2 linked regions of the Diceros bicornis minor genome follow. The protein of the gene in region 2 interacts with the protein of the main gene of each other region in a biochemical or structural test. Links are inferred from orthologs where the notes say so. Each region holds a gene or a part of one and is shown on either strand. Other genes may lie near its edges.

Region 1 (6,953 bases), on a different chromosome or scaffold from region 2:
GCAAGAGAGGGAAGGGAGACAAGAAGGCAAGGCGCTCATGCTGGGCCTCCAAAATCAAGACAGGGATTCAGAGCTCCCAATTCTGCAAAGCCCACACTTGAGCACCTGTCCCAGCAACCCCTGGCACCTTGGTAATAGACAGAAGGGATGACCAGAACCCCTCATTCACCTGTCGTGACCCGCCCCAGCCCACACTGCCTGGCCCAACCTCCCCTCCCTGCTCTGTGCTGCAGTCACCTGGGATGGGAGAGCAAACACGACGCTTTACCAACATCGTCTTATCCGATCTTTAGGACAAGGGTGCCTATGAGACAGGTAACATGATCCACACTGTACAGACGAAGAAATTGAGCTGCAGAGTGGTGACCCAACTCGCTGAAGATTTTAGGAGGTGGCAGAGCCAGCATTTGATCCAAGGAGAGTCAGAAGAGACACGGGCCGAGAGAGAGATCGAGGGGCTCAGCACTGAGTAGCACACAGCCTGAAAGAGAGTCACGAAGAAGCAACGGGGCAGGAGGGGGGTGGTGGGGGTGGTAGGAGACACAGCAGGGTGTGAACTTGCTGAAACCAGGATCAGGGAGAGGTGGAGGCAGGGAGACAGGGCATGCTGTGGAACAGACAAGAGGCCAGCTTCCCCCAGACAGAGCTCCCAGGACCTCCCCAGAGAGCGCAGTGCCAGGAACCTGGACCTCTCAGAGTCAGAGCTACCCCCAGGCCCACCTCAGGACAAGCGCCTCCCTCACTCCCTTCTTTAATAGGCACTGTATTCTGAAGGATCTGGAAAATTCCTCCTCTTCAGCACACAGGCAGCTTCCATTTATTGGGTCCAGGCACCAGGCCGGCTGCATTATATATACTCGCTCATTGACACCTCACAAAAACCCTACTGAAGAAGGTTCTATTATTACCCCATTCTACAGATGAAGAGACTGAGGCTCAGAGAGGCTAAGGGATTTACCCAAGTCACAGAGCCAGTTTGTGGAAGAGCTGGGATTAATACTCAGATTGGCCCATTCTAAAGCCTGCACTACCTCCAAAGGCAAAGTGGGGAGAATCATTGACAAAAACGCAAAGCAAAGATCAATCCTGCCTGTGCTTCGGGGAATCTTCCCACTGCAGCTGGTGATGAGTCACTGAAGGCACAGGAGCTTCTCGTGCCCTCCACTCTTCCTGGAGGAGCAAAGATCTCTCCAGAGATCATCGATGCCAAAACTCCCTCAACACCCACACCCACCCCTCCAATGCTCGAATGCACTACATTCTGCCCTGCAGAGACCCCATACTCTGGAATTCGTACTCCCAATTGAGGAGACTGGGTCTCTATTCTTCAGACAGGGAAACTGAGGCAGATGGTGGGGCAGGAGAAATGAGGCCTCTGCTGTGACGGGCACCAGGGACTGGGCTGAGATCACAGCTCACATCTCCAACTTCTGAGCCCACAATCTGCCGTCTGCCATCTGCTCTGCCTGGTGACACCACAGCCCAGAGAGGTTTAGGACCGTGCCCTTGGTCAACCAGCACGGATGACCCATTTCCAACCAACAGTTAACACCAGGGCATCTTTGTGGTCATAGGATAGGAGTTTCCTTTCCACCCTTTTTGCCCCTGTCTGAGCTGGCAGAGCTGGGTCAGGAAGGCTGCTTCTGGGCAAGCTGATGATATTTGAGCTCTGCGAAAGTCCCAGCACCGTGCCTAGAGACCAAGAAGAGAACTCCGCTTCCCGAGGTGAAAGCACAAACTCCACTCCAGCCCTAACAAACCACTGCGGCCTTTGGCAGAAAAAAGGGCTGTGAGAGGAGAGGAGGAGAAAATGAGGGGCATTTGCGAGAAGGCTCTGAGGCCTCTCTCAATCAACTCCTGAGCTCGTGACCAGATGGCCACTGGTGAAGGAAGCGGAAAGCCGACTGGGCCGCCCACAGCCATTGCCCCCTGTCCCCAGGAACATGGGGCATTAGCAAACACACACACAGGTGCACGAACACAAGTGTCCAAAGCCTCTCTGGATGCTCTCCTCCCCCCAGGGGCTCAGAGGTTTGACAAGAACAACACAGTCACATTGTCACATACTCCGAATCACAACTGACAGTGTGGGACAAGCACACAACAACACAGGGACCCCAACAGATGATCACCAAATGTGACTTAGTAAGTGCCCTACAGCATGGTGCAGACACGCACTCTCCTGTGCCCACCTGCATGGACAACCCACACACAGCTGTCTCCCCAGAGGCCCATGGCACCTCGGGCATCTCTGCCCACCCCTACGAGGTTTTTAGAGGTCCAAACACACATTTGTACTGTCACAAACAGAATCACCCACTCACAAACCGTGACAGACACACAAACTGTCGCCAAACTGTCCCACATAGCCTGATGGAGACGGGGATGACAACAGATGATGGAATGTTTTTTAGTTACACACACACATTCCAGTCCTCCTCTCAATGGAAGCTGTCTCCCCGCTGGGTCCCCGGTGCCCCCTGCAGGAAGTGCGCAGACCCCGGGAGTCCGGGGTCCCAGGTCAGGGTCCCAAGTCCGTGGTCCCCACCCTCACCCCGAGGCCCAGCCCCGCGGCGCCAGCCCAAAGCGGACTCACCGGACGATGCCAAACATGACAAGCACGTTGCCCAGCAGCCCCACGGCGCACACGGCTGAGTAGAGCGCAGTGATGGCGATAGCCAGGGCGAGGGACGAGGCGCTCCGTGCGCCTGGCGGCCCCGACGCATTGGCGCCCGCGCTGGGAAAGACGCTGGGGAAGGCGTCCGACTCGTTGGCGAGGAGAGGGAGCTGCAGCTCAGCGTCGGTGGAGGGGGCCGGCTCCATGGTGGCCGGGCAGCCGGCGCCGCCTCCCTCCCCACCGTGCGCCCTGGGCGCAGAGACCTGGTGCGAGGGGCGCGCCGGGGCCCGAGGCTGCGGCTCCGACGCCGCCAGCTGCAGCGCCCCGGCCACCTGGCTTCCTCTGCTCCTCCTCCGCCTGCCTCGCCGCTCGCACCGCCCTGAGCCCGGCGCCCGCCCGCTGTCCTGGCCCGGAGCGCTCTGAGCCGGGAGCCGCTGCGGGCTCCTCGGACGCGCCCGCCGCGCGCACCACGTGGCCCGGAGGCGGCCGCCAGTCTGCGCCCGCGACCGGGGGCGGGCGCTGCACCACCGGCTTGCAGCTGGGCTGGGAGGCTTCCCACTCCCTCCTAGGGATGCTCCGCAGGCTCGAGTGCACCTCCACCCCTGCCGCGACTTACCTCCCCACCCGTTGCCGCTCTGAAGTCAGAAGGACCTGAACATGAATCCTGCCTCTCGCCCCTGCACCAACGAACAGAGTGACCTTGAACACGTCCCTTAACCTCTCTCGACTTCATTTTCCTCGTTTGTAAAATGAGGATAATCGCATCACCTCCCTCACAGGGTTGTTGGGGAGATTGAATAAGATGATGCCAGTGAAGAACTTAGTGCCGGGCACGCAATAAGTGCTCCATAAATAACTGTTATCATCCGTGGTTTTCTTGCGCCCCATTCATTCGCTCAATTGATATTTTTTTGGTGCCAAATATAAGAGCCGGGTACTATTGGGGATCCACCACTGCACAAAATCAGATGCGGCCCCTGCGTCCTGGGGCTTGCAGCCCAGTGGAGGAGAGAGACATCAATCCTAACACTACACTAATGAAGACAGAGTTACACACTGAGGAAAGTGAAGCATTCCTGTGGCAGGGCCTACAAAACCCAGAGGTCAGGACGGCTTCCCTGGGGAAATGACACCTGAGGTGAGAGGTGAAGTTTGGGGAGGAACTAATTTAGAGAAGAAACAAGGGAAGAGCATTCCAGACAAAGGAACCACATGTGCAAAGATCCTATGGTCAGACGGACCAAAAGGAGGCCATGAAGAGGAGAGGACAGGGAGCGAGGGTGGGGAGAATGGAATGAGGTGGTGGGCAGGGTCACAAAGACCACCTTAAGGATCACTCTGGTGGCTGTAGGAGCAGATGGAAAGGGAAGCACTTCCCACATCCTCTCCCAAACCTGACCAGCCCAGACCCAGAGCCATCTTCCTTTTTGGGGCTCATGTCCTTCCCAGAACATTCTCTCTACCAACCCTTACTCTGTTCCAGGCACTATGATAGGCGCTTTATCCGTGCATCAACACTTTGGAGTACATTCTATGGTTAGTATCCCGATTTTACAGACGAGAAGACTAGGCAAGGCACTAAATTATCCCAGATGGAAATTATTTCTAAGTGTGTTTCCTCCTTGGGGAGACCAGGCCTGATTGATCCCTGCACCTAGCAGAGGGCTGGGGTCACAATGGGTGCTCAGGAAATACTGGTTGGATAAATAAAGGCCCTGGGGTGGGGGGGAGTTGCCACGGGACAACATTGGTGTTCCTGAGCTCTAAACTCTGGGGTGATGCTCTTGGCCCTGTGAGTGGCTGAGCAAGGACCCCTCACTCATATCACTCTCTGACTTGAGTCCTCCATCTATGTGCAAGGCTCTTACCCTTTCCCGGAAAGAACAAAACCAGATTTCCCAAGTTCACCCTCCTCCCCATTCTCTTTGCCCCTCCCAGCTACTATCCAAGACCCCTTACCAGCTATAGCGGACTCCCCACCCCAAGGCTTTCCCACTCAACCGTCTAAGGACTCATCAGACAGATGATTTTTGCTGTGTGGTCACATGTGCTGCCAAAACTCTCTCCGCTGTCCCAAAGGGCCTGGTACTCAGAGATTTTTCTGGTGCCGGGGAGAGAAATTGGGACAGGAAGGAAGGCTACTTTTATTAGAGTTCTGGCACCCTCCTTACCCCTCCAACAAGCCAATTTTTTTCCTACCTCAGGACATTTGCACACTCTCTCTTTTCTACTTGGAAGGCTCGGCCACTTCCCCAGGCTAAATGTTATTCATCCTTCAAGTTTCAGCTTAAACATCACTTCCTCCATGAAACCTTCACTGACTGCACCTCCCTCCACCACCTAGACCAGGTGCTCTGTTATTTGTTCTCATAGCATCATGCACCTCTTCTTTACAGAATTCCCCACGTATTTGTTTGTGTAATCATTGGATTTTTGTGCATCACTCTACAACAGTTCTTGTGCGCATCTGTACCCCCACCTTGCTACAGTCCCTGATGCTCAATGAGTGATGGAATGGGAAGCTCAATTCCAACTTTGGTGAGCTCCCATGTTGATGAGGGAAACAGCAGATATCGATTAATATAGGACGAAGGGATTCTTTTAAGCGCCTAAAACCTTTTGTATAAACTCTGTAATCACATCTTATTTGGAACTGCAATACTAGTTCCCAGCTCCACCCCTGCTCTTGGCTTTTAGCTGTAACCAAATCAGTCTACCCTCACTCCTTGACAGTGCATTTGGGGCTTTCCCCAGTCTGGTCCCAACCAGGGGTTACTGCTGCCCTCTTCTGACTCCACCCCCCATCCCCGCCCCAATCACGTGCTCTGGTCATACGGGGCAGAAGGGAACTTTTAAAAATTGCATTCTGCAATGTTTTTTGAGTCCCTCCTGGGTACGGAAATGCTATGGTGGAAAGTCATAGCTATCGTGTAGGCAACAGACAGAAAAAGAGTTCCCTTAACTTCACTGAGCCTTAGTTTTCTCATCTATAAAGTGGAGAGGTGCAGGATTGGTGCAACTGAGAAAGGCTGCATGAGCATGAGTTATTGAACCGTGAGGTTGAGTAAGACCATTGCTCTCTTGAAAGAGCTCACAGTCAAGAAGCTGTGAGAGATATGCAGATGACCAAGTACATGAGTGAAATAATGGCTAAGGAAACATACATGCTGTTGTGGACTGCCCCTTTTAAGAGTTTGCTTGCTGCCTCTGCTCTGTCACGTGAGAATACAACAAGAAGGTAGCAGTCTGCAACCTAGAAGAGGGTCCTCACCAGAACCTGACGTGCTGACCCTCTCAGACTTCCAGCCTCCAGAACTGGGAGAAATAAATTTCTGTTGTGTGTAAGCCACTCAGTCTATGGTGCTTTGTTATAGCGGCCCAAACTGACTAAGACACGTGCCAATTGCACGTGAATTGCCCCCCTTGAGGACATTGGAAGAACACATGGAAACTGGAAAGGCATGGGAAGGGGTTTCTTTCATGGCCTCCCACAGAGAGTACTTTGAAGAGCTCAATTCTTACTTGGATGTGAGCATTCTAGTCTATTTATCTTTAAAAGGCAATCTCATTTCTGTGGTGACAACTCATAAATAATCATGTTGGCTGCCATTTATAGAGAGTTTGCTGTGTGCCAGGCACTGGGCTAAATGCTTTGTGGATTATTTCATTTAATCCTCAGCAGCCCTATAGGCATGAGGTTCTACTATTATTATTCCATTTTGCAGAGATTAGCTTAGTGCCCAAGCCAGAGCTGGGATGCCAAGCCAGGTCTGTGTGACTCAAAAAGCCAGTCTCCTTGGGCCGGCCCGGTGGCGCAAGCGGTTAAGTGCGTGCGCTCTGCTGCGGTGGCCCAGGGTTCGCCGGTTCGATCCCGGTTGCACACCAACACACTGCTTGGCAAGCCATGCTGTGGAGGCGTCCCATATAAAGTGGAGGAAGATGGGCACAGATGTTAGCACAGGGCCAGTCTTCCTCAGCAAAAAAAGAGGAGGATTGGCAGATGTTAGCACAAGGCTGATCTTCCTCACACATACACAAAAAAATGCCAGTCTCCTGACTACCACACTACGCTACCTCTCAGAGCAAAAACTAGAAAGTCACCCCCCAAAAACACAAGAACCCATCGTTCTTGTCTCTGCTCGGCAGAGTTTCCCCACTATGGAGGGTGATGAGTTCCTGGGAGCTCAGGAGATTCTTGAGTCCATCCCTCCTCTTGGTGGAGCAGAGTAGACACAGCCCTCCAAGCCTGGGTTACTGAAAGGTTTGGGTCTGCTTGGAGCTTGTCCCCATCCTTGACTTCAGGGTAAAAAAAAAAAACAAAAACAGATGGGAAATC
Region 2 (7,735 bases):
GTCAGTGGCTTGGTCTCTTTTCCAGTTCCATCATCTATACTATCCTCTTCTGCAGCCCATAACCAGGGTCCTGTAATGGCCTCTGGCCTTGTGTATTTTCTGGACCAGAACCATGAATCAACAGTGTCCTGTTCCTCCTCTGGCCTAGATTTCCAGCTGCCTCCACTGGCAGGATACATACAGGGATTTTCTTCTGCCCAGAAGCAAGACTCAATATTGATCTCTTCAGCCTCTGCCATAAATGTGCATCTAGTACCAGCCCCATACTTCATATTGACCTCTTCTGTAGTCCCAAACCAAGATGATGATATAATAACCTCTTCCTTGTCCTCCAGGCTAGACTTGTTGCTGACTTCTGCCCCCACATAACCTTCTACTCCAGCCCAAAACCATGACCCAATAATAGGTTCTTCCTCCTCAGCCCCTGACATGGTGTCACAGCTGACTTTAGCCCCATAATCCATCTGGCCCTGATTTCCAGCCCAAAACCAGGACCCAAATATTTTCTCTTCTTCAGCTCCTGGACTGGCCTCTTCTCTAAACTCAGCCTCTGTATTGACTTCTCCAGCCCAGAACCAGGGACCAATGACCTCTTCTTCCTCAGACCTTAGCCTGGACCCACAGCTGGCCCCAACACCAGCTTCCACACTGGCCTCATCACTGACCCAAAACCAAGACCCAAAAATGGTCTCTTCCTCAGCCTCTGGGTTGGTCTCTCCAGCAGCCCAGAAGCAGGAACCAGCAATGACCTTTGTTTTATCATCTGGTAGCAGAGATTTGGAAATGGCCTCAGCCCCAGTTTCCATACTAGTCTTTTCCCCAAGCCCATGCGTGGAATTGCCAATAGGCTCCTCCTCAGTTCTTGGTCTGGATTTACTGCTGACCTCAGTCCCCATATTGGCCTCTTCCTCAGTCCAGAACCAAGTGCCAACAATGGACTCATCCTCCACTTGAGAACCGGACTTGACACTGGCCCCACCCACTATGCTGGATTCTTTTGCAGCCCAGAAACAGGTCCCAATGAGGAACTCCTCCTCCGACCTGGCTTTTTGCTTGTCCCTGGCTCTGGCCTTGGTTTTGGCCTCTTCCTTTGCCATTGCTTTGGCCCTGGCCTCTTTCTTGGACTTGGGCCTTGACAAGTTATTAGCCTTTTCTCCAGGCCAGAACCAAGGCTCTTTTTTGACTATATCTATAGACCCAGACATGAAATCAACAGAAGCTTCTCGCTTGGCCCTGTGCCTGGCCCTGACATTGGCCCCTTTCCTGGCTCTGGGTTTGGACCTGGATTTGGCCTCTTCTCCAGCCCAGAACCAGGACTTCACATTGTTCTCACATTCAGACCCAGAACTGAACTCAGAGACTTCTTTCTTGGACCTAAACCTGGACCTGCTATTGTTCTCTTCCCTGGGCCTGGACGAGATATTGGTCTTTTCTCTGACCCAGAACAAGGATGTCTTAACAGATTCATCCTCAGAACTAGAACTGGACACAATATAGCGCTCCTGATTGGTTTTCGGCCTAGACAAGGCCTCTTTTTTGGCCATGTGCCTGGACCTGGTATTGGCCTTTACCCTGTCCCTAGGATGAAACCTTGTACTAAAATCTTCTCCACTCCAGAACCAGGAACTCATAGAAGATCCATCCACCAATCTGAAATCACAATTGTGACATGCCTCTTGTTTCCATGTAGGCCAGGGACAGCACCATGACCGGATATTGGTCTCCTCTGACCCAAACAAAGGCTGGATTCCTGACTGAGACTTGACCTTGGTGCCAGGAAAGCACTCAGTATCCACATTAATCAATTCCCTATCCATAGACAAAGTCTTAGTTTTAGCAACTGACCCAGACTCAGTACCAACCAGTGCCCAGGCTATGGCACTGGTCTGGGACACTCCCTCTGTCTTCAACATTGCCTCAGCATCAAACACAGTCTGGGCCCGTGAATGGGCTTCATGCATGCGTGTTGCACCAGGGATTACCTTGGCCTCTGTTTTAGGATGTGTCCCACCTTCTGCCATGGCCTCAGTTTTGGGTCTTGCACCAGGCAAAACATGGGTCTCAGTTTTGGGCCTTGCCCCAGCCATTGCCTGGAACTCAGTTTTGTGCCTTGCCCCAAACATAGCCTGGGACTCAGTTTTGGGCCTTGCCCCAAACATAGCGTGGGTCTGGCTCCTAACCTTGGGTCTGACCACCAGTGGGACTTCATTCTCTCTCTCAGCCCCACCCCCAACCTCTTCTCCAGGCTTCTTTTCAGGCTTAGCCTGGGCGCCAGGCTCAATCTCGGCCCCAGTCATAGTACAAGTTACAGAAGAGACTCAGGTAAATACTCCTACCCCAGTCTCAGCCTCTACCACAGGATCTGTCACAGTTTTTTATCTTCACGCTCTGATCCGTCAGTGATTCAGGAGACGATAGAGTTGGAAACAAGAGTTAAAGTCAATCGCCAGTCCAGCAGTCAATCAGCCTCCTTCTCAGGCCCAGCCTCAGCCAATATTACAGACAAGAGTGCAGCAGAAGCACAACCAAGCTGGGGGAGGATGGATGGTTCCCGGGTGGGTGCAGACCTGTAGAGGGTGGTGGTCAGCAGCAGTTCCAACACCACCAGAGCTGCCACTGGAGGTGGATGGATCTAGGAAGAGAGAATGTCATGGGACTTTGAGTCTCTTTCAATTGTGTCGCTCCACGCGGAGACTCACAGAGACTGGACTTTGAACGCTTGGTGAGACACTCAGATTAGAGAGTCTTTCTGTCACCGACATTTCGCCCACACCCTTCACCCCCAGAGCTGCCACGGTACTTTGCCTGCTACAAAACAGGTGTGAGGTTGGTGGGAAAGTGTGTTGGCAATGAGAGAGGCTGAGAACCCCCAGACTAGAACCTAATCACTCTTTGGTCTGTGTTGGTCTCCACTCCCAGCCCAAGTTGTACCCACTCTCATACCAACCTGCACTGATGGGGTGCAATTTCCCCTCCTTGCTTTGTTCCAGTGGAATTAAGCCCTATAGCAGACAGCAGGCCATCCTACAGACAACATACAGGAGAAAATGGAGTCTGAGTGCTTGGCATTCAGGCAGACACCCTGACCCCTGATGTAAACATCTCTCTTCCTGTTTAAGGGTCCAATTTGCCTAACGTTACATGTCTCCTGGTCCCTGTTCCCAGGTCTTCTCCTCCCATTCACAGCCCAATCCACAACTACCCCAATATTCCTAATAGCTCCTGCAGGAAATGGACAAGGGATGCTGCAGCACTGTGCAAATCTGGCAGAGAGTAGGACAGGAGAATCAAAGACACCCAACTGGATCAAACACCAATGATCTTACTCTGTAGCTGTCCCCTGCATTGCCCCTCTTCACACCAACCTCCAGAGATTTGAGCCAGTCTCTTCCTCCTTTCCTTCCCTGCAGAGGTGATCAGCCTTAAAGCAGGCCTATGAACAAAGAGGCGAAAAATAAGACAGCAAGGAAATAATGGTAGCAACTCAGTGCTTGGTAGTCCGACAAACACCAAGGATAAAAAGTACCCATATTATCTGTCTTTTAACATTTAGTGTCCAGTTGGTACAATATTCTTTAATGCAACCCCTCTATTTCAAGTTTCTGGATAACTCCTCCTCTTCCCATCACTCTCCTCATCACTCCCTTCTCCAATTCTGAGGATTCACAACTAGGTGTTCACAGTTCCCTGCGCCGCACACCATAAATTGGAGAAAGTACCCAGCATATTCTAGACAACAGATTTTCAAGTGGTATTTGTAATTATGACTCCCTTGTCACATCCACCTCCAAAATCCATCATTTAGTGCCAATTAGAGAAGAGCAGGGAAGGAAAGCAAGGGAAGTGCCTACAAAGCTGGTAGAGAGGAAAACTTGAGGAGGTACTCCTGGATGCCTGACCTGCTCTGGTCGCAGTCAGCCCACCCCCATTCGGCTCTCCAGTCAATGGCGGCTGCCCACCCCCCATCCCCACACACCTCCAGAAATCCAGGCAACTTTCCTGCTCCTCCTTGCTCGCAAGTGTCTCCTCTACAGATGCACCCTGCAGCCTGAAGTCGCCAGACCTACCGCGCAGACAGGAGACTTCGGCATTAACGAGGCGCCTGTGGGAAGGGACAGCACCCAGGACGCGGGGCCCAACAGGCCCCTTTCCAGAATCAGGGCCCAGAGCAGCCCACACCACTGTCCCGCTCCGCCGGCTCGGCGCAGAGCTCGGACACCACCCCCGCCCCGCCGGCCTCCACGGGCGCCCCCCGACCCAGCTCTCGCTCCGCTCCGCCATTTCTCCCGCAGCAGGCTCCCCCACAGCCCTCTCCCAGCACAGACACCGTCGAGGGCGGGGCGCGGGCGCCCGGAAAGCCGGCTCGGGAGCGCCGGGCGCGATTCGCCTCCAGAGGATCCGCGGGAGTCTCTCGGGCCAGCCCCTGCGCCCTGGCCCCGGCCCGCGCCAGTGGCCGCCTCCTCAGCGCCAGGGGTCCCCCGGCGCTGCGCACCTCTCTCAGCGACCGGCTCCGACCGGCTCGTCTCCTCCTTGCCAGGCTGCCAGGGTCTGGAGGGCGGGCTGGAAGCCGGTCGACAGTGGGGGACCACCCCCGCGCCCCCCACGACACCCCCACTTGCCTCTCTAGGCTCAGGGCCCAGGTCGTCGGCCTCCCCCTCCTCTCGGAGCTCCTCACTCGGAGTCCCACCGCTTTCCGCGCAGTCAGATTTCCAAGAGGCGGCCCGCCCCCCGCACCGCTGCACCAAAACGGGCAGGGGCTGCGCAGGATGCGGCACGAACAGCTCGCGGCGAGGGGTGTCGGGAAGGGGGGCGGAGGGATACGGCACGAATGGGCTCGACGCCCCCTCCCAGGCCCACCGTAGTTCCGACCCAGAGGGGGCGGGGACGGGAGGAGCTCCAGCCCGAGGGGCGGGCTAACACCAGCCTGCCTCAGTAGCCCTCCGCGGCCACCTACGTGGCGACCACCCCCTCATTGCCGGCACTACGATATAGGGGACCGGCGGGTGGTTGGCGCTGGGGGCCAGGATCGGGAGGAGCCGCGCTGGAGGGAGCAGCGGATGGATACCAACCGCCCCTCAGTGTCTGTGGTGTGTGTGTGTGTGAACCCCCCGACTGCTCCGAGTGTGCCCACCGCCCCCTCCCCACCCGCCCGCCATCCTTCCGGAACGCTGATGGGAGAGGGGCTTTGAGGACCGCAGGCTGGGAGGGGAGAGGCGATTTAAGGCCAGACCGCCCCGGAGGTTCTGGGTGGGAGCCCTCCCAAGTTCTTGTTTCATTGCCTCATGGGGCTGCGGAGAGGAGGGAGGTGGGAGGGGGCTCCCATGGAGGCCTCACCACTGCCCCTCTTCCAGAGGAAGGCAGACCTAGACCTCTAAGGAAACAAACCACTGGTCTGTGCCCAGAGTCCTTCTTTCTGCCACAACGCTTGCTTTCTCATTCGAAATGGTAACACACTTGACAATTTTGTGGTCCCCACAGTTGCCTAAGAAAGAGGCCTTTCCTTGTCAGGACCCACACCCGGTCATACAACCCTCTTTCTCTGTTGCCCCACAACCAAGTGTCAGGCACCAGGTAGGGCTGGTCCTGGCTCCTCTTCCACTGGTCTGTCCAGTCTTCTCTGGCAGTCACTTCAAGCTCTCCTGACCTTTGGCAGTGTGGAAATGTGGCAGAGATTACAACCAACTTGGATCTCAGCCACTTGCCATACACACTTGTCTAGTTTTCCCAGTCATTCCTGGAGAAGGCCCCATCGTGCACCCACTTCCTCAAGACAGAAACCTGGTGGTTCTTGAATCCTGTACATTCATCCCTACCTCCTTCCTCTAGTCTTGAACCCCTCCTTTCTGCACTCCGTGGGGCAAACAGAGCAATGGTGCGTAAGCACAACCAGGGGTGAGTACAAACCTGCTGGCACTGTTGCCCATTTTAAAACCCAATTAAATGGCACTCTCAGTGTGGTAGGCTGAATAAAGGTCCCCCAAAGATGTCCACGTCCTGTTCTCTAGAACCTGTAAATATGTGATGTTACATGGCAAAGGAGAATGAAGGTTGCAGGTGCAATTAAGATTGTGTGGGAGATCAAGATCTGGCCACCCTGGAATATATCTCTTTACCTTGATTGTTTTCTCTGACGGACATTTGACCTCCCCCACTAACTGCCTAAAGAATTTGACATAGTAACTCCTTCCTGGAACACATCTTCTATCTGATGGCTGTAATATAATGTAAAATAGATGTTACAATAGAAAAGGCACCAACAAGCCCATCTTATCAGAAGTTCTGTCTCTCTGGCCACATTCTCTGGATGGCCCTGCAAGGAGTTGCCAGATAAACATTTACATTTATAAGGGAAATCTCCATTTGTAAAGGTATCTCCCTCTCTGTATTGGGAAGAGGGGAAATGACCTCATTTCTAGAAACTTATCAATGTGGAAAGTGAGGCCTTAAATCTGCATAATAACCTTACTCCTGTTTACTGTGCTTTAGTGGTAATCTCCTGTAACTGACTCCCCCCACCCCCAACATCCTCCTTTGTCCTTAGCTGAACATGGTATTTAAGACGAGAATTTCTGCTGTTGTGTTGAGAAATGCAGTTTCCCTCGTTTCTCCCATGTATACATGTTATTAAACTGGGTATTATTTTCTCCTGCTAACCTGTCTTGTTAATTATTTGGCCAGCCATAAGAACCTTAAGGGAAAGGGCAGAGGGGGATTCTCCCTCTTCCCCCACAATTGCTAATCACCTGAATTTAAAATAAGATTACACTGGATTATCCTGGCCAATGCAATTGCAAGGGTACTTTAAATGTGGAAGAGGCAGGCAGAATAATCAGTGTGACGGTGAAGTAGCATGAGAAAGACTTGACAGGCCCACAGGTCCCTTGCTGGTTTTGAAGATGGAAGGAAGCCAGAGGCCAAGTAATGCCGGCAGCCCCCAGAAGCTGGAAAACACAAGGAAACAGATTCTTCCCAGAACCCCTGGGAGGAATGAAGCCCCGCCTTCACCTTTATTTTAGACCAGTGAGACCCTTTTCAGATTTCCAACCTCCAGGACAGTAAGATAATAAATTTTTGTTATTTTAAGCCACCAAGATTGTGGTAATTTGTTACAGCAGCAGTAGGAACCGAATTCACTCACCATCCTGATAAAGTCCATTCCCCTTGACTTTCTTTACTTGGGCTTCAGCTCCTGGGAGGATCAATTTTGGGGCTCATCTCTCACCACTATAACCACCCTCTCCAGCAATCCTCTTCTCTCCGTTTTCTAAAGAAGAGATTTTTGCAGTGGTCTTTGAGGCTTACTTGGAGAAAGTCGCTATTTGCTAAAAATCACTGATGTTTTTCAGGGTGAAAAGGGAATCGTATTCTTACCATGAATTTACAATTTGTTTTTAGATATTTATTATAACTCTGCAATATTTTGGTGACAGGAAAAAAACATCTGGAGACGATGCTATACAGTATGTGGAGACAATGGATGTCAATTTTCAGAGGAAGGCCTCTTTTACTGTACTATTTAAATAGGCTTTGCTGAATTGTGGACTTTTTTCCTTTGTTCCAAAGTATACTCTCTTGGGCTACTGCCAGGCTTGAGGAAGGGAGTCTGAGCTCTGCTGGGATCTGTGGATGTATGTGGATCTCTGTGGCTCTCTGAACTGCTTTCTTCTCTTTCTTAAAGTTACTTGTGTCTGTCATCCCTTCAACAAGTATGTATTGAGTACCTTCTTTGTTCTAG

The links.
Region 1: the proteins of GPRASP1 (region 2) and OPRD1 form a complex in vitro, tested with the Homo sapiens proteins (2 studies listed by BioGRID and IntAct). The link is inferred for Diceros bicornis minor from reciprocal best matches to the Homo sapiens genes GPRASP1 and OPRD1.

Annotation. Positions count from the first base shown.
Region 1 is NC_080752.1:44,095,210-44,102,162, reverse strand, and holds the start of OPRD1 (delta-type opioid receptor), read right to left. Parts: upstream 3,017-6,953; 5' UTR 2,824-3,016; coding exon 2,597-2,823; intron 1-2,596. UniProt on the Homo sapiens protein: G-protein coupled receptor that functions as a receptor for endogenous enkephalins and for a subset of other opioids.
Region 2 is NC_080781.1:95,539,582-95,547,316, reverse strand, and holds the start of GPRASP1 (G-protein coupled receptor-associated sorting protein 1), read right to left. Parts: upstream 3,013-7,735; 5' UTR 2,948-3,012; intron 2,633-2,947; 5' UTR 2,298-2,632; coding exon 1-2,297. UniProt on the Homo sapiens protein: Modulates lysosomal sorting and functional down-regulation of a variety of G-protein coupled receptors. Targets receptors for degradation in lysosomes via its interaction with BECN2.